Linked DNA regions of Anolis sagrei. The protein of the gene in region 1 interacts with the protein of each later gene in a pairwise test. Links are inferred from orthologs where the notes say so. Each region holds a gene or a part of one and is shown in the gene's direction. Other genes may lie near its edges.

Region 1 (7,398 bases):
CCCCAGCTCACACCACAAAACATACCCATCCGTTTTCAAAGGTCACTGGCAAACCAAAGAGATGTACCCTGATATTCAGTATGTTTCATTTATAATTATAATAATAAGAATACTCTGCCTCTCCTTGCAGCTCAAGGCAGAATACAACACAGTTAAAACACAACACTATCAAAATACATATAATATTATCATTTGCAAGAAAAGTAAAAATACTTTTGGGGGGTCATCTAAAAAACAGGTTAATTGGAGTATAAATGTGCATTTTGCACACTGAGGAGGCAAGCATAGATATGAAAGCGTCTGCTTCTCCCACCTTCTGCTCAGGTTCCGTCTTCAGGTGAACAATACCAACATTCTCAGCTTCCAGCTGGTAAGTCAAAGCCAGAACCTTTAAGTCTGTAGCCGAAAGGCTGGGATAGTCACCCGTCTTCTTGGAAAACTCGGTCACTAAAGAAAGGGAGAGAAAATGGCATTCCGTCATTGAATCCATATACAGAGCAGTAGTTTGATAGTCCCATGCTTTCCAGCCAAAAGGCCAAGGAAGAAGAGAAGAGGCTAACGATGCTTGCTCAGGGATATGGCCCTATCTCTCTCTTTGGGAATTATCAAAATAAATATTTATGACTTGAGCTACAGTCAATGCGGAGGCTTGTGTAACAGAAAACACATGACCAAAGTTGTGCCCAATAAAACCAAGGTAGCAGAAAATGCAGCATACAGAACTTGCCAAGGCCAAAAAGGAACTTTTAGAGACTAGTATCTTATATAAGGAAGTTATGGCTGCCCCAAATGAGCAAGATTTCTGAATGACTGAGGCTCTAGAGGCCACCTGTTTGCCAAGAGTCCAAATAAGCGGCCTCCAGAGGATTTGGGATGCAATCCCTGTACCTTTATGCATCGATACCTTGATTTAAGAGTCTAATTCGTTCCATGACAATACAAAGTTGTGGCAAAGAAGCCAAAGCACCAAGTAAAGAGGCAGAAGCATCCTTTTCTTCTTCCTCCTCATTCCACCCACCTTCCCTCCCTCTCACTCTTTATGAAGCCAAACAGATCAGGAATTAAAATTTATTAAAAACACACAAAATCAACAAACCCAAAGTTCCTCAAAGTGGACAAGAGCAAAGCGGATAGCAATCTCCCAAAGCAGACAGACAGAGCAAGAAGGTTGCTCCCTTGAAGCCCTAAAGCCCTGAACTCTTGCGTTAGCACTTCCTCTGGTGCTGGCTCTTAACTCAAAATGCTGCTTGTATGTCAAAGCAAACACAGGCCAATTGACAGTTCTTAACTCAATATGCTCTCAACTCAATTGACAGTTCTTAACTCAAAATGTTCTCAACTTGGGACACTCTTAAGCCAAGGTTCCACTGCATAAGTCTTGTATTCCAAACATCCTTCAAGATGGATGGCAATCTGGGAGCAAAAGCAGTAGGTCTGCAAGTGGGGCTTACCCAGGCGGATGTATTCAGGGAAGGGCTGTTTGAAGTTGAGCTGATAAGGAAGGACTGCCAGGCGACGCTTGGTCTCCTTGTCCCGAATCTCAGCCACCACCTCCCGCACAGTGTAGACGTTTTGGCCGATGTCCTGCACAGAGAGAGGGAAAGGGTTAGGGGGGTACCGCCGAGGAAGGCTCCACCCAAAAACATCCCAGAAAAGCAAACTCTTTAGGATTCCCAAGTGGTCTATAATGTCCCACTAGAAGTGGAAAGGATCACCAAAGACCATCAACTCCCTTCTTTCTGCTAGGCAGGGAGGCACGATCCAAGCCCCCTGAGAGATGGACATCCAGCCTCTGTTTAAAGCCCCCAGGAGAAGGAAAAAGACTCAGCCAGGCTCCCCGACAGTCTGTATCCTATGGGGAGGGGTCCCCAAAAGGGCCACCCAGTTCTTGTGCCACGATTGGGCTTTATCTGCTGCTGAATCCCAGCATTGGCTCACACTCAGCTCATGGTAGAATCACAGAACCCTAAAGCTGGAAGGAATCCTCAAAGGTCATCCAACCCCTTCTTTTTGCTAGCCTGGAAGACACAATCAAAGCACTTCCGCAGCCCCTAAGTCAAAACCTCCAGCAAAGGAAGGAGACTCCACTGGACTCCCAGGCAGTCGGTATGCTGCCATTGAATGGTTCTAAACATCAGAAAGTTCATCTTTAGGTTTCAATGGAATCTCTTTCCTTGCAGTTTGAATAATAGTAATAATAATAATAATAATAATAATATGTCAGTAAAATAGTTTTAATTTGGCTCAAGGTGGGTTACAGGATTACTAAAACATAAACAAGCATATAATAATTTTAAAACATTATATAAAATAACATACCTCTATAAAATATGTTTTAAAACACACAAAACAAAAACCAAGAATTCAGTAGAATTTAAAATTCACAATTAAAACTGGGTAGGCCTGCTGGAAGAGATAGTTCTTCATTTGTATCTTTAATTCCGACAGCTGATCCAGCTGTCAGGGCTCTACTGGCAGGTTATTCCAGTCAGGTTTTGGCTAGTGGAGCTACCACCTCCCAGAGGAACAAAGTAAGTGGGACGGATTGTATGGGAGAAGGCAATCCTTTAGGTAACCTGAACCCAATGGGATTTTGGCCTGCATCAATAGCAGTATAGTGTCTAGATCTAGGGAAGTCATGCTCCCCCTCTATTCTGCCTTGGTTAGATCACACCTGGAATATTGTGTCCAATTCTGGGCACCACAATTGAAGAGAGATATTGAAAAGCTGGAATGTGTCCAGAGGAGGGTGCCTAAAATGATCAAGGGTCTGGGGAACAAGCCCTATGAGGAGCAGCTTAAAGAGCTGAAGAAGAGAGGGCTGAGAGGAGACATGATAGTCATGCATCAAGTATCTGAGAGGAAGTCATAGGGAAGTCATAGGGAAGAGGGAGCAAACTTGTTTTCTGCTGCCCTGGAGACTAGGACGTGGAACAATGGCTTCAAACTACAAGAAAGGCGATTCCATCTGAACATGAGGAAGAACTTCCTGACTGTGAGAGCTGTTCAGCAGTGGAACTCTCTGCCCTGGAGTGTGGTGGAGGCTCCTTCTTTGAAAGCTTTTAAGCAGAGGATAGATGGCCAACTGTCAGAGGTGCTTTGAATGCAATTTTCCTGCTTTTTGGCAGAATTGGGTTGGACTGGATGGCCCATGAGGTCTCTTCCAACTCTAGGATTCTATGATCCCCAGATGAGGACCCTTGATGGCAAGCACACCTATTTCAATATGTTTTCCTCATGTTGCTGTTGTTGTTCATTCATTCAGTCGTCTCCGACTCTTCGTGACCTCATGGACCAGCCCATGCCAGAGCTCCCTGTCGGCCGTCACCACCCCCAGCTCCTTCAAGGTCAGTCCAGTCACTTCAAGGATGCCATCCATCCATCTTGCCCTTGGTCGGCCCCTCTTCCTTTTGCCTTCCACTTTCCCCAGCATAATTGTCTTCTCTAGGCTTTGCTGTCTCCTCATAATGTGGCCAAAGAACTTCAACTTTGTCTCTAGTATCCTTCCCTCCAGTGAGCAGCTGGGCTTTATTTCCTGGAGGATGGACTGGTTGGATCTTCTCGCAGTCCAAGGCACTCTCAGAACTTTCCTCCAACACCACAGTTCAAAAGCATCTCTCTTCCTTTGCTCAGCCTTCCCTAAGGTCCAGCTCTCACATCCATAGATGACTACAGGGAATACCATGGCTTTGATTAGGCGGATCTTTGTGGCCAGTCTGATGTCTCTACTCTTTACTATTTTACTGAGACTGGACATTGCTCTCCTCCCAAGAAGTAAGCGTCTTCTGATTTCCTGGCCACAGTCTGCATCTGCAGTAATCTTTGCACCTAGAAATACAAGGTCTGTCACGGCCTCCACATACAGCCTCATACAGCCCATTATATGCTCCAGGAATTCATTCCTTAGCTGAGGCTGCTTGTGAAGGCATGGAGAAATATATGTGGGCGTCACGAGCAAACTGCGAACCCAGGGAACAAGCCTTGCCTTCTCCTCTTCCAAATAAGGAAACATGGCTGCCGGGCCCCCTTCTCTCCTCCAAGGCAAACACTCCCTGCAGCTCCCTCAGCTCTTCCTGAGAGGAATTCCTGACTTCCAGGCCTCTGGCCCTTTTGGCGGCCCTTCTCTGGACGCCTCCCAGCTTAGAGCCCACCTGGAGGCCTGTGAGACCCACCTGGAGCGGGGCTGCCTTCAGAAAAGCCCCCGCGTCGGCCACAACGTGTTCCACCGGCGCCATCTTGCCCTCCTCTCCCGCGCAAGGCAGCCTGGGAAACGCAGGGCGCCGCTGATTGGTCCGCTTTGGCCTCTCTCGAACTTTGCCCCAGAAAGGCGGAGGGTCATGTGACGCCTCGCCTGCCTGTCACATGACCCACGACTTACAGGAGGCGGAAGTGGGAAGAGGAAGGAGCTCAGCCGCCGCCGGTAAGAGGAACAGCCTGTTGCCGTTAGTCTTGTTGTGGTTTGTGTGGCTGCTGTGAGGCTTCTTCCCCTTCCTCTCAAGGTCCCAGGCTTTGCTTGGGGTTGGGAGCTGAGGCGGGTCGGCCTTGGATGGGACTTGGAGGGGAGACCGGTGGGGAACGCCAGAGGAAGGAAATGAAGGGGGAAAGCGCCTTCTCGGGCTGCAGTTGCCAGAAGGGGCGACTGGGGGATTCTGGGAGTTGCAGTCCGAAAGGAAGACCCTTCCTCAAACCTAGAAGGCCTCCTTCTCTCTCTGACACAGGCCTGAGCCAACTTAGGCCCTCTATCCAGGTGTTTTGGACTTCAATTCCCATAATTCCTAATGGCCTCAGGCCCTTTCCTTTTCATTGCTTATTGACAGAACCCCAGCCATCACTTGCCCACTTCTGCTCCAGCCCTGGCTCTGATTCTGCCCAAAGGCCCTCTGGACCTCTGTGGATGACACAAACGAGCATGAGCCTCATCTGTCACACTCAGAGTGATGTTGAGAGTGATCCAGTGGGTGCTGATGGAAGAAGAGAATAGTTTAGAGAAATAAATAAATATAGAATCCTACCTATCCGACCGCATCTTTGCCTATGAACCCACCAGGACTTTGAGATCTTCCGGGGAGGCCCTGCGCTCGATCCCGCCTGCTTCTCAAGCACGGCTGGCGGGGATGAGAGATAGGGCCTTCTCGGTGGTGGCTCCTCAGCTGTGGAACGCCCTTCCTATGAACATTAGATTAGCACCATCTCTAATGGTATTCCGCAAAAAAGTGAAGACCTGGCTGTTTGAGCAGGCGTTCGAATAATTAGTGCAATGATTGGTTAATGAACACTGGAATGGAACAATGGATGACAAATCTGGAACATGTTTTTGATGACGAGACGACAGTGAATGGGTATTGTAGTAACTTTATTAATTATGTAATGTGTTACGCTGTGAACTGTTTTTATACTGTAGCACTGAATTTTTGCTGTTCGTATTTGTTGTGAACCGCTGTGAGTCACCTTCGGGCTGAGAACAGCGGTATATAAGTAAGGTAAATAAATAAATAATAAATAAATAATTAATGCTGGAGTTGGAAGGGACCCCCAAGGGCCATCCAGTCTGACCCTTTCATTCATAGATAGATAGATAGATAGATAGAATGGACCATCCAGTCTGACCCTTTCATTCATAGATAGATAGATAGATAGAATGGACCATCCAGTCTGACCCTTTCATTCATAGATAGATAGATAGAATGGGCCATCCAGTCTGACCCTTTCATTGATTGATAGATAGATAGATAGAATGGGCCATCCAGTCTGACCCTTTCATTCATAGATAGATAGATAGATAGATAGATAAAATGGGCCATCCAGTCTGACCCTTTCATTCATAGATAGATAGATAGATAGATAGAATGGGCCATCCAGTCTGACCCTTTCATTCATTGATAGATAGATAGATAGATAGATAGAATGGGCCATCCAGTCTGACCCTTTCATTCATTCATAGATAGATAGATAGATAGATAGAATGGGCCATCCAGTCTGACCCTTTCATTCATAGATAGATAGATAGATAGAATGGGCCATCCAGTCTAACCCTTTCATTCAAAGATAGATAGATAGATAGAATGGTCCATCCAGTCTGACCCTTTCATTCATAGATAGATAGATAGATAGATAGAATGAATGGGCCATCCAGTCTGACACTTTCATTCATAGATAGATAGAATGAATGGGCCATCCAGTCTGACCCAATCATTCATAGATAGATAGATAATTTAAGGTGCTGGTGTTATCCTACAAAGCCCTAAACGGTTCCGGCCCAAAATACCTTTCGGACCGCATCTCGGCCTATGAGCCCACGAGGACCTTGAGATCGTCCGGGGAGGCCCTTCTCTCGATCCCGCCTGCTTCACAGGCACGTCTGGCGGGGACGAGAGAGAGGGCCTTCTCGGTGGTGGCCCCCCGGCTGTGGAACACCCTCCCTGCTGACATCAGACAGGCGCCCTCCCTTATGTCCTTCCGTAAGAGCCTCAAGACATGGCTATTTGAGAAGGCATTTAACTGAGTGCTACAGTAACTGGAAATGACAACTGGAACGGAATATGGATTACGAGATTGGTTATGATTCTACTATAAGACGGAGCGGATTTTTTAGTGTAATTAGATAATTGTGTATTAGTGATATATTGTTTTTTGTCGTTATGGCTTATTGTAAATTGTCTTTTATATGTTGTACACCGCCGTGAGTCGCCCTAGGGCTGAGAACGGCGGTTAACAAATGCAGCAAATAAATAAATAAATAAATAGATAGAATCTTACAGTTGGAAGAGAATCGAGGGCTATCCAGTCCAATCCACTAAAAGACAGAAAGAAAGATACATATATAGAGGTCATAGAATCTTACAGTTGGAAGAGAACCCAGCACTATCCAGTCTACCCCTCTAAATCATAGGTCTCTTCCACACAACCATATAAACCAGAATATCTGCTTTGAACTGGGTTATCCGAATCCACACTGCCATATATTCTAGTTCAAAGCAGATAATGTGGGATTTTATTCAGCTATGTGGAAGGGACCCTAAGGGCCATCCAGTCCAACCCTATAAGTCAGTGGCTGCTAAACTGGCTGGGATTTTTGGGAGTTGTAGGCCATAACACCTGGGGACTCACAGGATGAGAACCACTGCTCTAAGTCATAGATCAATAGAATCCTAGAGTTGGAAGAGACCCAAAGGATCATCCAGTCCAACCCGACAGATGGCCCTCTAGCCTGTCCTTGAAAACCTTCAGAGAAGGTTTTTATGGAGATCCTCAGTGAGACTCATCAACTAGAGGGAACCAGCTAAGCCTTTTCCCACTGGTCTGACTGTTGTGGTTCTCTTTATTCAGTGGCAGTACATGCTGAAGAGTAACAAAAAGCAGGTGAACCCCCCAAAATGAGCTGGGTGTGTATGTACATGT
Region 2 (7,717 bases), on another chromosome or scaffold:
ACCCAGAGATTTGCAGGATTTTAGCAGTGTTTTGTTGGCCAGGCCACACAATTATTGAACTGTAAGTCCTGGCAACAAAGTAGCTATGGGAAATGTGGAGAGCCCCTCAATTTTTTTTTGTTTTCACATCAGGAGCAACTTGAGAAACTGCAAGTCGCCTCTGTTGTGAGATAATTGGCCATCTGCAAGAACATTGCCCAGGGGACACCTGGATGTTTTGATGTTTTACCATCCTTGTGGGAGGCTTCTCTCATGTCCCCACATGGAGAGCTGGAGCTGACAGAGGAAGCTCATCCACGAACCTCCAACCTGTTGGTCTTTAGTCCTGCTGTCACAGGGGTTTAACCCATTGTGCCACTGGGGGCTCCTAAGAATAAGGTAAGAGTATGACAAAAAGCCTGTAGTAATGCTAAAATAAAACACTAGAGAAACAAGGAACAGGGAAAATAAAGCCAGAGGTGACCTTCATAGGGAAAAATCCAAGCCTCAACTAAAAATATTTGCAAAACCTGGTCTAGGACAGAGCTTCTTAAAGTTCTTCTGCTCATGATCCCTTTCTATCAGAGAAATTTGTACATGATCACAGGTATATAAGTATACAAAATAGTTATACTAATCGAACATTTACTGATAATAAATCAGCTTTTGCAAGGCTTGCTAAAGAGGCTGATTTACCTTTTTATGAAGAAAAGCCGAAGTATTTCCTTCAGAGTCCATTGTGAACACTGCACTGTTGTTGCTAACAGATTCATGTCAATGTCTAAACCATCCACTGGGTGGTGCTCAAAACCCTTTTTCTGTTGCCAAATTTTTGCAACCTCTTATGGAACCCTATTTGGAGTCAGGACCCATAGCTTAAGAAGCAGTGGTCTAGACAACGAAGAGCATAAAGACTACCATTTAGGAGAGCTGTGAGGAAACCTAAAAGGGCAATGCAACTGCTATACACTATTCCTTCACTTTCTATATTTTCATATAGTTCGCCACCAGGTACATCTACCAACACATAAGCTTCATTGAAGTCAGAACTACCCTGTGTACTCATGTATACAAGTACTGAGTACATAGGTAGTTCTGACTTCAATGAACATCTTAAACACCTACCCACCAACTCTGCTACAGGACACAAGATACATTTGCATGCAAACTTACTAAGTCCTATATGTATATAGGACTTAGTAAGTTTGCATACAAATGTGTGTGTGTGTGTATATATATATATATATACACACACACACACACACATTTGTATGCAAACTTACTATATATATATGCCATTTTCCAAAAATATTTTTAAACCTATATCTATATCTATCTATCTATCTATCTATCTATCTATCTATCGGGTTAAAAAAAAATATTTTTGGAAAATGGCATTCACCACCATTTTGGGAAAATCAGGAATCTCCCTGAGAATAGTTAAAAACTCGCTTGAGTCCTTAGTGATAAATATCAATCAGCATTCATGCAAAGCAATTAGGTTTCTCAGCTGTTAAACCAATATACCTAGACATCTCTTTGAACTGTTTGGGACAAAGATATTCCAATGCACATACAAACACACACACAGGCTGGATAGCCATCTGTCAGGGGTGCTTTGAATGCAATTTTCCTGCTTCTTGGCAGAAGGCTGGACTGGATGGCCCACGAGGTCTCTTGCAACTCTATGATTCTATGATATATAGCAGAGTTTTAGAAGTGTTCTTTCAGTTGCCCAAAAACATCTACTCTCCCTTAAAACATCTTGGTTTTAAATCATGCTCTCAAAAGACAAAATAAACAGACTTCTTTAAAAGTAACATAGTTGGTTTACTCACAGATTTCATGTATTCAGCATACAGTTATTTTGCTCATCAATCCAGTTACAAATAGAGTTTGAAGTAGTTTGTGCAGACAACACAGGGCATCTTTCTTATAATCACAGTCCATAGTCTAAAGCACCTCTCTGGTCTGAGAGTCTAAAAGGCTGTCTTTTTCTAAAGTCTTCTAAGGTATACTTTTTCTACATTGAAAGTCTAATGGCTTCTGCTTCTAATGGCATCTGAAATCATACAGTTTCTAAAATGGAGTCTGAGTCCTGAACAATCCCACATCTGATCACATGGTTTGCCGCCCCTCCCACAACATAGAGTTAAGGAAAAAACTGCATACCAATACACACATATACAATACACTAAGCAATCTGAATTATATACATAACAAATAACTAGTGGAGGCTTGAAGAAAGTTGCAATTTCCAACAGATTTTGCTCCTGTTCTTTTTAATTTTGCACTTTGTTAAAATAAACCAACCTGGGGAGCAGGTATAAAAAGTATCTAACTGTATCAGAAGCTGACAAAAATATTGTGGGATAAACAAAACATGCACCTTTTATGGTTAGTTAGGGAGGAGTGGTGAACTTCCCTTGTATTGCTACAATAGCGCCAACACAAGTTGGCTGGTTGTGGGATACTTATATACAGACATAAATAAGTACATAAGCACGAGCATTGCCACTCATCTAGCAAAAGCCAATGCAGTGACACTACAAGGGGCCACTTCAATTAGCAATAGCTTTGTGCTACAGGCAGACAAACAGATACGCATGCATACTTTGACCGACAGATAGATAGATAGATAGATAGATAGATAGATAGAGTGATAGAGTGATAGAGTGATAGAGTGATTGACTGAGGCTGCCTAGTGGTAAGGCCATCCTCTTCCCTTTCATGGGGGTCCTGTGCCCAGAGAACATGGAGACCTGACATTATGTGCACCAATAAGACACCAAAAGTTTTACAAACCATAGGCAAGAGACAAGCATTTTCTTCCATCTTTAGCAAACAATACTTACAAGAGGTTGTTTTATAAGAGGGCTATGGTAATAATTGATGACTGCCAATGGTGTGGCTATACATTGCCTCCAAGAGGAGAGGCAGCACTGCCTATAGCTAGAAAGACCAGTCACTGAATATGTTCATGCAGCAAAGGGTTTGGCATAATCTTCAGCAATGTGCAATGAAAACACTCAAGCAAATTTCCATTTTTGGGAGATCAAGGGCTCCAGGACATTAGAAGTACAGATGTGCATCCCTATAGTGACCCACGGCATGTTTATCTCTTTCTTTCTTTATTTGCTGCATTTCTATCCCGCCTTTCTCAGCCCGAAGGCGACTCAAGGCAGCTTACACTGGCACGATTCGATGCCACAGTGAACATTAAAAAATTAAAACAAAATTTAAAACAATTAACACAGAGACTTCACAACCTCTGAAGATGCTTGCCATAGATGCAGATGCTTGCCATAGATGCATCAGGAGAGAATGCTTCTAGAACATGGCCATATAGCCCAAAAAAACTACAACAACCCAATTAACACACATTATAAAAACCCTGTAAAAAGCATTAAAAGCATAAAACACCAGTAACTTCCTATTAGCTCATTTTCCAAAAACATTGTCAAGCCATACCATGTTCATTCTTTCCTGGGTTCCATATTCATCCATTACATTGCGTTTTCAAAGGCTTGTTCAAAAAGCCAGGTTTTAAATTTTTTTCAGAATGTCAGTAGAGAGGGGGCTGATCTAAGGGAGTTCCATAGCCGAGGAGCCACCATTGAGAAGACCCTGCCTCTCGTCCCCACTGGGCACGCCTGCAATGAAGGCACGATCAAGAGCAGAGCCTCCCCAGAAGATCTTAAATTCCTAGCTGGTTCATTGAATCAACCTAGCTAGTTGATTGATTTTTCCAAGACTTTCGCTTTACTCGAAGGCTTTCACGGCCAGAATCACTGCAGTGTGGTGTGGTTTTGTCATATGTTCCATAGTTGATGGTGGTTGGTGGTGGTAGACCTGGCAGTTGGTGATGGAAGGATTAATGTAAGTCTTGGTTCTAAAGGGTTGAGTAGTTTATAAGTAACAGTTTACAGGTAAAAGAAATTACGAGTGGAGGTGTGCAGGAGATGGGTTGCAGCTGGGTATTACTGGATTTAAGGAGCTAACTTTGAGACTTATCTTTGGGAGAAAAGTATCTGTTGCATTTTGGTGGTGGATGTTGCTGGCATTTGACCATTGGACTGGACCCTTTTGACTACGAAGTTATTTTTGCTATCAGTTTTTGTTTATTCTGTAGCTGCGTGCTATCTTTGTGTTTTATATTTTGGTCTATTGAAACAGCCAGCAAGTAAGTGCTGTTTTAATTAAACTGTTTGATAAAACTGATAGTTTGATTAATCTCTACCTAAATAAGGTAGAGCCCTGGCAACGTGACAGGTTTAGGGCCCTGTTCTAGCAACATGTTCTCATGACATTTCAACCATATCTGTGGCTTCAGATCTTCTGAAGATGCCAGCCACAAGAGAAAATGCTACTAGAACACAGCCATACAGCCCAGAAACCGCACAACACCACTTTCATTTTTGTTTCCAAGAATCATTGTGAAGCCCAGAGTGGCACAGCCCACAGTGTGGCATCTTCGTTGCTTATTTATGTATAAGATCCTGTGTTTTCATACATATTCTGCATCCTGGGCTGCTACCGCACATGGCCCCATATGGAGTCTGACGGTGGCTCCTGACATCCTTGACATCAGTCCAGTGGGAAAGTCGGTTTGGCTCTCTGGTTTCTGTGAAGACAATAGCAAGGAGCTTTCTGGGAGCTGTAGTTCAGAGACCTTTGTATAAAAACTCCATTTTATTTCCTTTTCTCAGACTCCTCTCTCCAAAATGCAATCCCTTGAACAGGTAAGGGGTTGAGAGGGGAGCAGGTTTGCAGCCGCCCTTTCTGGTGTGCCTTCCACTAGAGGGCAGAGGCACCTAAGGACAGGGCCTTGCGCATGGCACCAGAAAAAGGTGAAAGAGTTAACAATACATGGCTCGCTTTGGAATTTGCAAACCTGAGGGGGAAGTGGGGATGCTGCCCTACATGGAAGGCCGCCTGTTTGGGGCCTGCGGGGCAAACCTGAAGAGTGCCAGCAGAGAGGCTGATAGTCATCAGCTTGGAAGAGACTGAGCTATACTGAGGTACAGAGCAAAGAAATGCCTTCCCATTGCTGTAGTCGCATACTTAATACCTGCCTAGAACAACATTTGGTGCAGTTTTGAGCACAATTGTTTTTCCAGCTTCCAAGATAATAGGGAGTGCAAAGCATAGAAGCCTAGGGAAAGACAACCGTTTTTAAGAGAATTCAAAATGGTTTCAAATATATTTATTTTCCCACGATGGAAATGTATGCAAATATTGCTTTTGTCCCACTTTCCACTCTGGTCAAACAGGTTTTGCAGGTTTTAAAGAAACAAAAACCTGCAAAACGTGTTTGATCGGAAAATATGATCAAAAGAGGGAGCATTGCTTTTTCAAACTGTCTGCAATTCCCTTACAATATTATGTATTAACTTGGGTACCAGGCGCTGGTTGGGTTATTTGAAAATGTCAAATTTTTAGTTGTACAAATTGCATAAGGTTGTGGGTGAACTACAACTCACATTATGCCAGGTTAATCCCGAAAAATTCAATCAGTACTTAAAAAATTGTTATGTTGGTCAAGTTTGCTCTAGATAAGTGTTTCTCAACCTGGGGGTTGGGACCCCGGGGGGGGGGGGGGTCACCAGGAAGGTTTCAGTGGGGTCACCAAACACCATCAGAAAACACATATTTCAGATGGTTTTAGGAACCCCTTTGGCAGAGAAGGCTGAAGATCTCTCTGCTTGTCCTTCTCTTCCATTTTGGAAACAGACGGCAAATCCTCCTACTAAAAGCCCTCCTCCAGCTCTCTGGATGTAGCTGAACTACAACTCCAAAACTCAAGGTCATTGCCCATCAAATGCTTCCAGTATTTTATGTTGGTCAGGGGAATTCTGTGTGCCAAATCTGGTTCAATTCCATCATTGTTGGAGTTCACAATTCTCTGATTGTAGGTGAACTATAAATCCCAGAAACTACAACTCTTAAATGACAAAATCAACCAATCAGTATTCAAATTTGGGCATATCGGGTATTTGTACCAAATTTGGTCCAGTAAATGAAAATACATCCTGCATATCAGATATTTACATCATGATTACGATTCATAACAGTAGCAAAATTGCATAAAGTAGCAATGAAAATAATTTTATGGTTCAGGGTCACCACAACATTAGGAGCTGTATTAAGGGGTTACAGCATTAGGAAGGTTGAGAAACACTGCTCTAGGTGCATCATCGATGGGGTTCAGTGTGCTCGCTGGCTGTAGGGTAAACTACAATTCACTATGGTGAGTCAGTCCCCTCAAGTCCCTTCAGTCTGTTGAGTTGGTCATGGGGTTTCTGTGTGCCAAGTTTGGTCTAGGTCACAGTTTTGCTAGTTGCATGTGAACTACAACTCCCAGAAAGGAAGGTTGGTTCCCCCACCCCCAGTAATCAAATTTCAGCTTATCAGGTATAAGTTTGGTCCAGATCCATCGGTGTTTGGGTTCACAGTGCTCTCTGGATATAGGTGAACTACAACTTCCTCAAATCAAGAAGGATTTCCCCCAAAGATCTCCATGGGGGCCTCTATGTACCATGTTTGTTCAATTTCCATCTTTGGTGGAGTTCGGTGCTCATTGATTGCAAGTGAACTATAAATCCCAGTACCTACAACTCCAAAGTGTCCAGGCCAATTCCCCTCAAAACCCACAAGTATTCAAATTTGGGCATATTGGGTAGGCATGCCGAGTTTGGTCCAGGTCAATTATTGTTTGGGTTCATAGTGTGCTCTGGATGTAGGTGAACTGCAACTTCTATACATCTCCTCAAAGATCTCCAGTCACTTTTTGTTGGTCATGGGGCTTCTGTCTGCCAATTTAGAGCTTTAAGATCTGCTGGGGAGGCCCTGCTCTCGGTCCCACCCCATTCGCAAGTGAGACTGGTGGGAACAAGAGACAGAGTCTATTCAGTGATGGCCCCTTGGCTGTGGAACTCCCTCCCCAGTGACATCAGGCAGGCCCCATCCCTCCTGTTCTTTAGAAAAAAGCTAAAGACCTGGCTTTGTATGCAGGCGTTTGGAGAATAAAATATTAAGGAATTCAACCTCAACAGCCTGAATAATGACTATGGATTTTGGATAATGACTATGAATAAGCATGAAATCAAGACTCTGCATTTTATATGTTTATATGTTTTTAATTTGTTTTATTGCTCTATGTGTTTCAATTGCTCAGATGTTTTTAATGTTTTAACTGTTTTAGAGTTTGATAGGGTGTGTGTTTATTGTTATGTTCTGTTGGAGCTCAGCCTGTGATTGAGTTTCAGGATCAGGGCGCTTTGGATGTGGGGAGTGATGTCAATGAGTTTCAAGATAGCAATGGTTTGGTCTATGATATTGACGCAGAGAATGACCAGGAGATCCCTGTTCAAAGTGTAGTTTCCCATGAGAATATCCCTATAGGGTGTGGGGATGATGGTGTGCTCCCTGAACTACTACCAGAGAGTTCCCATGATTTGGAACTTGAAAGCAGCTTGGCACCTGTTAAGTCGCCTAAGGACTGAGAAGGGCGGTATACAAATATAGTAAACAAATAAATAAGCAAATAGATAGTTGGGAGGAGATTAGTTAAAACAGAAAAGCTGAACAGTGGCTTCAGTGTTCTGCCAGGTTCCGAGAAAAAAAGATAAGAAACTCTCAGCTAAAGTGAAACCAGTTTCTGAGCGCTAGAGACATAGCTAACGAGGAGATAAAAGTCCCAAGTACAGGATATGTAGTCAGATGAAGCATCATTTGG
Region 3 (7,143 bases), on another chromosome or scaffold:
GCTGGATGGCCATCTGTCTGGGGTGCTTTGAATGAAATTTTCCTGCTTCTTGGTAGGGGGTTGGACTGGATGGCCCACGAGGTCTCTTCCAACTCTATGATTCTGTGATAATTGGTTGGGAATGCTACAGGGTTATTTTGACTCTTCTATTTATCTTATGATGTAGAATGAATGCAGTTTGACCCCACTTTAACTGCCATGGCTCAATGTTATGGAAGTATGGAAGTTGTAGTTTTACAAGGCCTTGAGCCTCCTCTGCCAAAGAGGTATTTAGTCTACAGTGCTACAGTGAGTTAAAGCACAGCGCTGCTGAAATTGCTAATAGAAAGGTCGCAGGTTCAAATACGGGGAGCGGGGTGAGCTCCCGCTGTCAGCCTCAGCTTCTGCCAACCTAGCGATTTGAAAACATCCAAATGTGAGTAGATCAATACGTACCACTCCAGCAGGAAAGTAACGGTGCTCCATGCAGTCATACCGGCCACATAACATTGGAGGTGTCTATGGACAACGCCAGCTCTTCGACACAGAAATGGAGATGAACACCAACCCCCAGAGTTGGACACGACTGGACTTAATGTCAGGGGAAACCTTTACTTTATTTATTTATTTTAAAAAATTATATTCCACCCTTCTCACCCCGAAGGGGATTCAGAGCGGAGCACAGCATATATACAGCAAGCATTCAATGCCAGGACAAGAATTCATTATATGCATACATAAACATTAAAAACATTTGTCTCAATATTAAAATACACTGTTTAAAACCATTTTTACCATCAATCTACAAAACCCAGATTCCATATCACTGAGCTATAGCAGTAAGAGTTGCATCTACATTGTAAAATTAATGTAGTTTGACTGCTCAATGCTAAGGACACCTAAGAGTTGTAGTTTTACAAGGGCTTGAACCTTCTCTGCCCAGTGTGTCACTAATCTACAAGTCCTAGAATTTCATAGCATTGAGCCATGGCAGTTTGGACGGGGTCAAAGTGGATTAATTCTACAGTGTTGATGCGTCTTTGGTATGTGTGTATGTGTGTGCATTTAATTTGTTGGGTTTAAATGAGATTTCTGAAACTCTAATAAAAATATTTTTTTAAAGACAAGGACAGCCCTTAACAAGCCTTCCTTTCAAACTCCATTTCAGCTTTGTTTGGGCTAAAGCAGTAGTTCTCAACCTTCCTAATGGTGCGACCCCTTAGTACAGTTCCTCAAGTTGTGGTAATCCCCAACCATAAAATTATTTTTGTTGCTACTTCATAACTGTAATTTTGCTACTGTTTGGTAATATAATATAATTGTAATATAAATATCTGATATACAGGATGATTTTTCATTCACTGGACCAAATTTTGCACAAATGCCCAACTGGAGTTGTGCAGGGATTGATTTTGTCATTTGGGAGTTGTAGTTGCTGGGACTTATAATTAACCTACAATCAAAGAGCATTCTGAACTCCACCAATGATGGAACTGAACCAATCTTGGCAAACAAAACTCCCATGATCAACAGAAAATACTGGAAGGGTTTGGTGGCGCATTGTCCTTGAGTTTTGGAGTTGTAGTTCACCTACATCCAGAGAGCACTGTGAACTCTAAACAATGATGGATATGGACCAAACTTGGCACAAATATTCAATATGCCCAAATGTCAACACTGGCGGAATTTGGGGAAAATAGACCTTGACATTTGGGAATTGTAGTTGCTGGAATTTATAGTTCACCTACAATCAAAGAGCACTCTGAACGCTGCCACAATGTATCTGCACCAAACTTGGCACACTACCTACATGCTAACATTGAATACTGTGGGGATGGGGGAGAGGCTGTTTTTGAATTCTGGGAGTTGTAGTTCACCAACACCAAAAAGGAAGATAAGGACAGGTGGAGAAATCTCCAGCCTTCTCTCCCAAAAGGGTTCCTAAGACCATCAGAAATATATGTTTTCTGATTATCTTTAGTGACTCCTCTGAAACCCCCTTCGCAATCTCTCCCCCCCCCCCACAGGGGTCATGACCCCTAGGTTGAGAAACACTGGGCTAGAGGTATGCCTTTCATAGAATCTTTAAAAACTTCCAAAGAAGGAGCCTCTACCATACTCTGGGGCAGAGAGTTCCACTGCTGAACAGCTCTCACACACAGGAAGTTCATCCTAATGTTCAGATGGAATCTCCTTTTTTGTAGTTTGAAGCCATTGTTCCACATCCTAGTCTCCAGGGCAGCAGAAATCAAGTTCGCTCCCTCCTCCCCATGGCTTTCTCTTACATATTTATACACGGCTATCATGTGTCCTCTCAGCCTTCTCTTCTTCAGGCTAAACATGCCCAGCCCCTTAAGCCGCTCCTCATAGGGCTTGTTCTCCAGACCCTTGATCATTTTAGTCGCCCTCCTCTGGACACATTCCAGCTTGTCGATATCTCTCTTCAATTCTGGTGTCCAGAATTGGACACAATGGTCCACGTGTGGTCTGATCAAGGCAGAGTAGAGGGATAACATGACGTCCTTGGATCTAGACACTATATTCCTGTTGATGCAGGCCAAAATCCCATTGGATTTTTTTGCTGCTGCCTCACATTGTTGGCTCACGTTTAACTTGTTGTCTATGAGGACTCCAAGATCTTTTTCACACATACTGCACTTGAGCCATGAGAGCTGAGGAGAGTATGCCTTTTGCAAGCAGTGCTCTTTCTGCTGAGGATGTTATTTATTATTTATTTATTTACTATATTTATATACCGCCATTCTCAGCCTGAGGGCAACTCAGGGCAGTTTAAAAACGGCACCATTCGATGCCCACAATAACATAAAAACAATTAAAACATTTAACATCAATAACATTCAGTAAATAATAAACCCCATAAAAACATAGATCCTCTGCATCTCATTACCAAAATCATTACCTAATCGGGTTGTCCAGTCATTCCGAGATCAGGGTTTGTCTGCTACACAGCATTTGGGAAAGCCTGATGAAAAAAGCCAGGTTTTGATTTTTTGCGAAATGTTAAGAGAGGGGGGGGGGGCGATCTAATGTCCCTAGTGAGGGCGTTCCACAGACAAGGGGCCACTGCTGAAAAGGCCTTGTCTCTTGTTCCCGCCAACCGAATCTGTGAAGAAGGCGAGACTGAGAGCAGGGCCTCCCCAGAAGATCTTAAATTCCTAGATGTTTCATAAGGAGAGATACGTTTGGACAGATAAGCTGAGCCAGAATCGTTTAGGGCAGTGGTTCTCAACCTGGGGTCCCCAGATGTTTTGGCCTACAATTCCCAGAAATCCCAGCCAGTTTATCAGCTGTTAGGCTTTCTGGGAGTTGAAGGCCAAAAACTTCTGGGAACCCAAGGTTGAGAACCCCTAGTTTAGGGCTTTATAGGCTAAAGTCAGCACTTTGAATTGTGCTCAGTAGCCGACTGGCAGCCAGTGGAGCTGGTGCAACAGAGGAGTTGTGTGCTCCCTGAGCGCCGCTCCTAGAATCATAGTTGGAAGAGACCTCATGGGCCATCCAGTCCAACCACCTGCTAAGAAGCAGGAATATTGCATTCAAAGCACCCCTGACAGATGGCCATTCAGCCTCTGTTTGAAAGCTTCCAAAGAAGGAGCCTCCACCACACTCCGGGGCAGAGAGTTCCACTGCTGAACGGCTCACACAGTCAGGAAGTTCTTCCTCATGTTCAGGTGGAATCTCCTTTCTTGTAGTTTGAAGCCATTGTTCCGCATCCCAGTCTCCAAGGAAGACAACCTGCCCATTGGACCATTTGAAGATTCCGAACAGTCTTCAAAGGCAACCCCATGTAGAGAGTGTTGCAGTAGTCTATACGGGGATGTAACCAGAGTGTGGACTACCGTGACCAAGTCAGACTTTAATTCCAAGTCAGAATTAAAACTTGTACTGGACAAGTTTTAATTCAAAAAGGAATGCAAAAGGGGCTTGCTCCTAAAGAGGAAAAGGAAAAAAAAATCCTAGAAGTTGGGGTAGCAAGCAAGGAAGCAGCTTGTCTTGTTGCTCTCCAGCAACAGCCGAGTCGGGCTCTCTCTTGCTTCTGCAACACACCTTCAGCATGAGAGGAGGCGGGGGAGAGCCAAGGCAGGCCCGCGCCTGCGCAGTGGGGTTGTTTTTCACAAAGCTCTCCTTAAAGTGAGGTGGCAGCGGCTGGGCTTTCGTCTTTGTAAGGAGACCAACCGAGCTGCAGCGTCCCTTTGCAGGAGCCCCAATGAAGCGCTCCTAGAGAAGAACCACGCTGGTCCTGCCTGTTTTTCGCAGAGCAATACAGATCAGCGTCAAGGGGAAAGTCTCATATTTTTTTTCTATATGAGATCTTGACTCTCCCTTCCTTTTTTTCTCCTAAGAATATATTTTTATAGACTTTGCTATCAACAAAAAAATAATAATAATACTTTCAACATGGTGCTGGGGAAGGTGAAGAGTTTGACCATCAGCTTCGACTGTCTGAATGACAGCAACGTCCCCGTCTATTCCAGCGGGGACACAGTCTCAGGAAGGGTGAATTTGGAAGTCACGGGGGAAATCCGGGTGAAATCCTTAAAGATCCACGCCAGGGGACACGCCAAAGTCCGCTGGACCGAGTCGAGAAATGCGGGATCCAACACTGCCTACACGCAAAACTACACGGAAGAAGTCGAGTATTTCAACCACAAGGATATCTTGATCGGGCACGAAAGAGGTGAGCCTGGCTTTGCCCCATTCATTCCTCTCTTTGATTATTATTATTTTATTTATTTATTTCCCCCATCTGTTTCATGTTGCTTTCTGGGTTGGTTTTCAAAGATGGTTACTGGGCAATAGGACCAGTAAGAGTTTGGCGTTGCAGCCTTGGGGTGCATAGCTATTTAAACCGAATCAACCTAAATGGATTGCAAAGACCATCATCCACTGCAAAAAGAAGTATTTTATATTCCCAGGAAGACTTAGCCTCCATTTGCATCCAGTGAGTGCATTGACACCATTCCTCTCCATTTAAGTGACTTCAGTATTATAACCTTGGGGTGCATAGCTATTTAAATAGAGTTGGACCTAAATGGGTGGTGATTATTACCATCTGCAAAGGGAAGAAAGACTTCATATTTTCCAGTCTCTCCTAAAAAGGGACACTTTCACCCAAAAGATGGGTTACTCAGAAATAGGACCCAATTGAGAGCAATGGCACCCATTCTTCCCCCCAGTCAGTGACTTTAGCATTATAGCCTTGGAGATATTTAAAAACCAAACATGGTTCCTGTAAAAAGGACCCAATTGAGAGCAATGGCACCCAGTGAGTGAGTTTAGCATTATAGCTTTGGGATGTAGAGGCATTTAAAAACCAAATATGATTCCTGGAAAATAGGACCCATTTGAGTGCAATGGCACCCATTCTTTCCCCAGCAAGTGAGTTTAGCATTAAAGCCTTGGGATATAGAGGCATTGAAAAACAAAATATGGTTATTGTAAAATGCGACTTATTGAGTGCAATGGCACCCATTCTTTCCCCCAGCAAGCAAGTTTAGCTTTATAGCCATGGGATGTGGAGGTATTGAAAAAACCAAACATGGTTACTGGAAAATAGCATCCATTTGAGTGCATTGGCACCCATTCACCTCAATACTTGAGATTGGGATGTAGCCATTTAAACCTACAACACTTAAAAGACCATCTTGTTCCCATCTGCAAAAGACTTTTTTATATTTTCCAATAGGGACACTCAGTTGGTGAGGATTTTCTCTTATTACGCCTTGATTTTGCATCTGAGATAGGACCCATTGAATACAATAATACCAATTCCCCCAATAAATGAGTTTAGGATGCATGCTAAAAAAAAAACCCTAGAAGACGTAAATAGATTGTAAAGACCACCTGATTACCATCTGCAAAGGGAAGACTTTTTAAAAAAAAAAAAAAATCCCACTGTCTTTCCAAAAGGGATACTTTCACCTGTGCATCCAGTTAGTGAGGAATTTCTCTTAATGCTTTGCTTTTAAACTATTTCTCCCTATATCAAGGTACCTATATGGTGACCCCCTCCCCTCCCTCTATATCAAGGTGCCTTATTAAGATCACTTATGGGGCTTCTGTGGGTGATGTCCTTTGGAGAGGGTTGCTGGGCGAGAAATAGGTTCCCCGTGGTGCGTTTTGACACTTGCTTTCAGCACCCCACGTGTACCTCTTGCATTCCCTTTTAAACTCAACAAAGTTGTGGGGAAAACGTTGTTTCGGAATATTTTTCCTACAAATGCGGATGGATAATTGGGTTTTGAAGTGAAGGAGGGGGACCCCCCCCCCCATTGAATATGATCAATAATTGCATTATTAACAGCATCCTTTCTAAGTTGGGGCAGTCAATGGAAAGCTCCCCCCTAGAGCTCTGCAAAGGATGCCTGATATTAGCCAAGGGAGTCAAAAATGGAACAAACCTCCCCAAAGGGGTTCCCTATGCTTCTGACTGTTTAATCTGTAGATTGCTATGGCACCCAATGTGGAAGTCTAGGAGAGTCTAAGGTTGTTTTTCTGAAGTTTCCACCCTTTGTTCAAAGCGGTTCAATCCTGTTTGGGACCAGTCCTGGGGAGAAGGGAGGGGGCTGCGCCTGCTCCTCCAAAGCCCATTGGCTGCAGGCGTGTCAGGTGGTGGCGATGACTTAATTCCTAGCACAAGAAAATGGGGAAACCGGTTATGTAATTGTGGCTTGCCCTTTTTATATATAGAGAGAGCGAGAGAAAGAAAGAGAGAGGAGATATATATCCTCACACACATATATATGAACATATATTTACATACATGTATATACATATCTTCTCCATATGTGTAGATATATATAGACCACATTTTTCTCTATCCCCCTTTCTCTATAAATAATTTCTCTCCCTTTCACACACATATACACACACTTATCTATATTTATGCAGATTTACTGCATATATGAGAATTTAATAGAAGCCTTTTTTGTTAAAATAAGCAAGTTGCAAATTAGCCATTCCCTTGCTTTCGAGGCAAGTCTTTTCAGCTTCCTTTTTGCCAAAAGATGGAAGAAGGCAATGTCTGCATTGAGATTAAATGGCATTTTTTTTAATCTTGCTATTCAAAGTGCACATTCTTCCCCGGGTATTTGCAATTTTCAAGAGGCACTTATTCAGAAACTAAAAGGTGCAAAAGACAATGTC

Evidence for each region. The genes of interacting proteins can lie anywhere in the genome.
Region 2: the proteins of WWP2 (region 1) and ATN1 interact in a two-hybrid assay, tested with the Homo sapiens proteins (2 studies listed by BioGRID and IntAct). The link is inferred for Anolis sagrei from reciprocal best matches to the Homo sapiens genes WWP2 and ATN1.
Region 3: the proteins of WWP2 (region 1) and ARRDC3 interact in binary tests that used the Homo sapiens proteins (3 or more experiments, as listed by UniProt). The link is inferred for Anolis sagrei from reciprocal best matches to the Homo sapiens genes WWP2 and ARRDC3.

What each region holds. Positions count from the first base shown.
Region 1 is NC_090028.1:28,882,654-28,890,051, forward strand, and holds the start of WWP2 (NEDD4-like E3 ubiquitin-protein ligase WWP2), read left to right. Parts: upstream 1-4,344; 5' UTR 4,345-4,420; intron 4,421-7,398. Other genes in the region: RNA-binding protein NOB1, read right to left, coding at 314-447, 1,452-1,584, 4,173-4,235. UniProt on the Homo sapiens protein: E3 ubiquitin-protein ligase which accepts ubiquitin from an E2 ubiquitin-conjugating enzyme in the form of a thioester and then directly transfers the ubiquitin to targeted substrates.
Region 2 is NC_090022.1:198,147,633-198,155,349, forward strand, and holds the start of ATN1 (atrophin-1), read left to right. Parts: upstream 1-4,698; 5' UTR 4,699-4,721; intron 4,722-4,794; exon of another isoform or gene 4,795-5,000; intron 5,001-7,717. UniProt on the Homo sapiens protein: Transcriptional corepressor. Recruits NR2E1 to repress transcription. Promotes vascular smooth cell (VSMC) migration and orientation. Corepressor of MTG8 transcriptional repression.
Region 3 is NC_090022.1:255,830,233-255,837,375, forward strand, and holds the start of ARRDC3 (arrestin domain-containing protein 3), read left to right. Parts: upstream 1-4,124; 5' UTR 4,125-4,395; coding exon 4,396-4,675; intron 4,676-7,143. UniProt on the Homo sapiens protein: Adapter protein that plays a role in regulating cell-surface expression of adrenergic receptors and probably also other G protein-coupled receptors.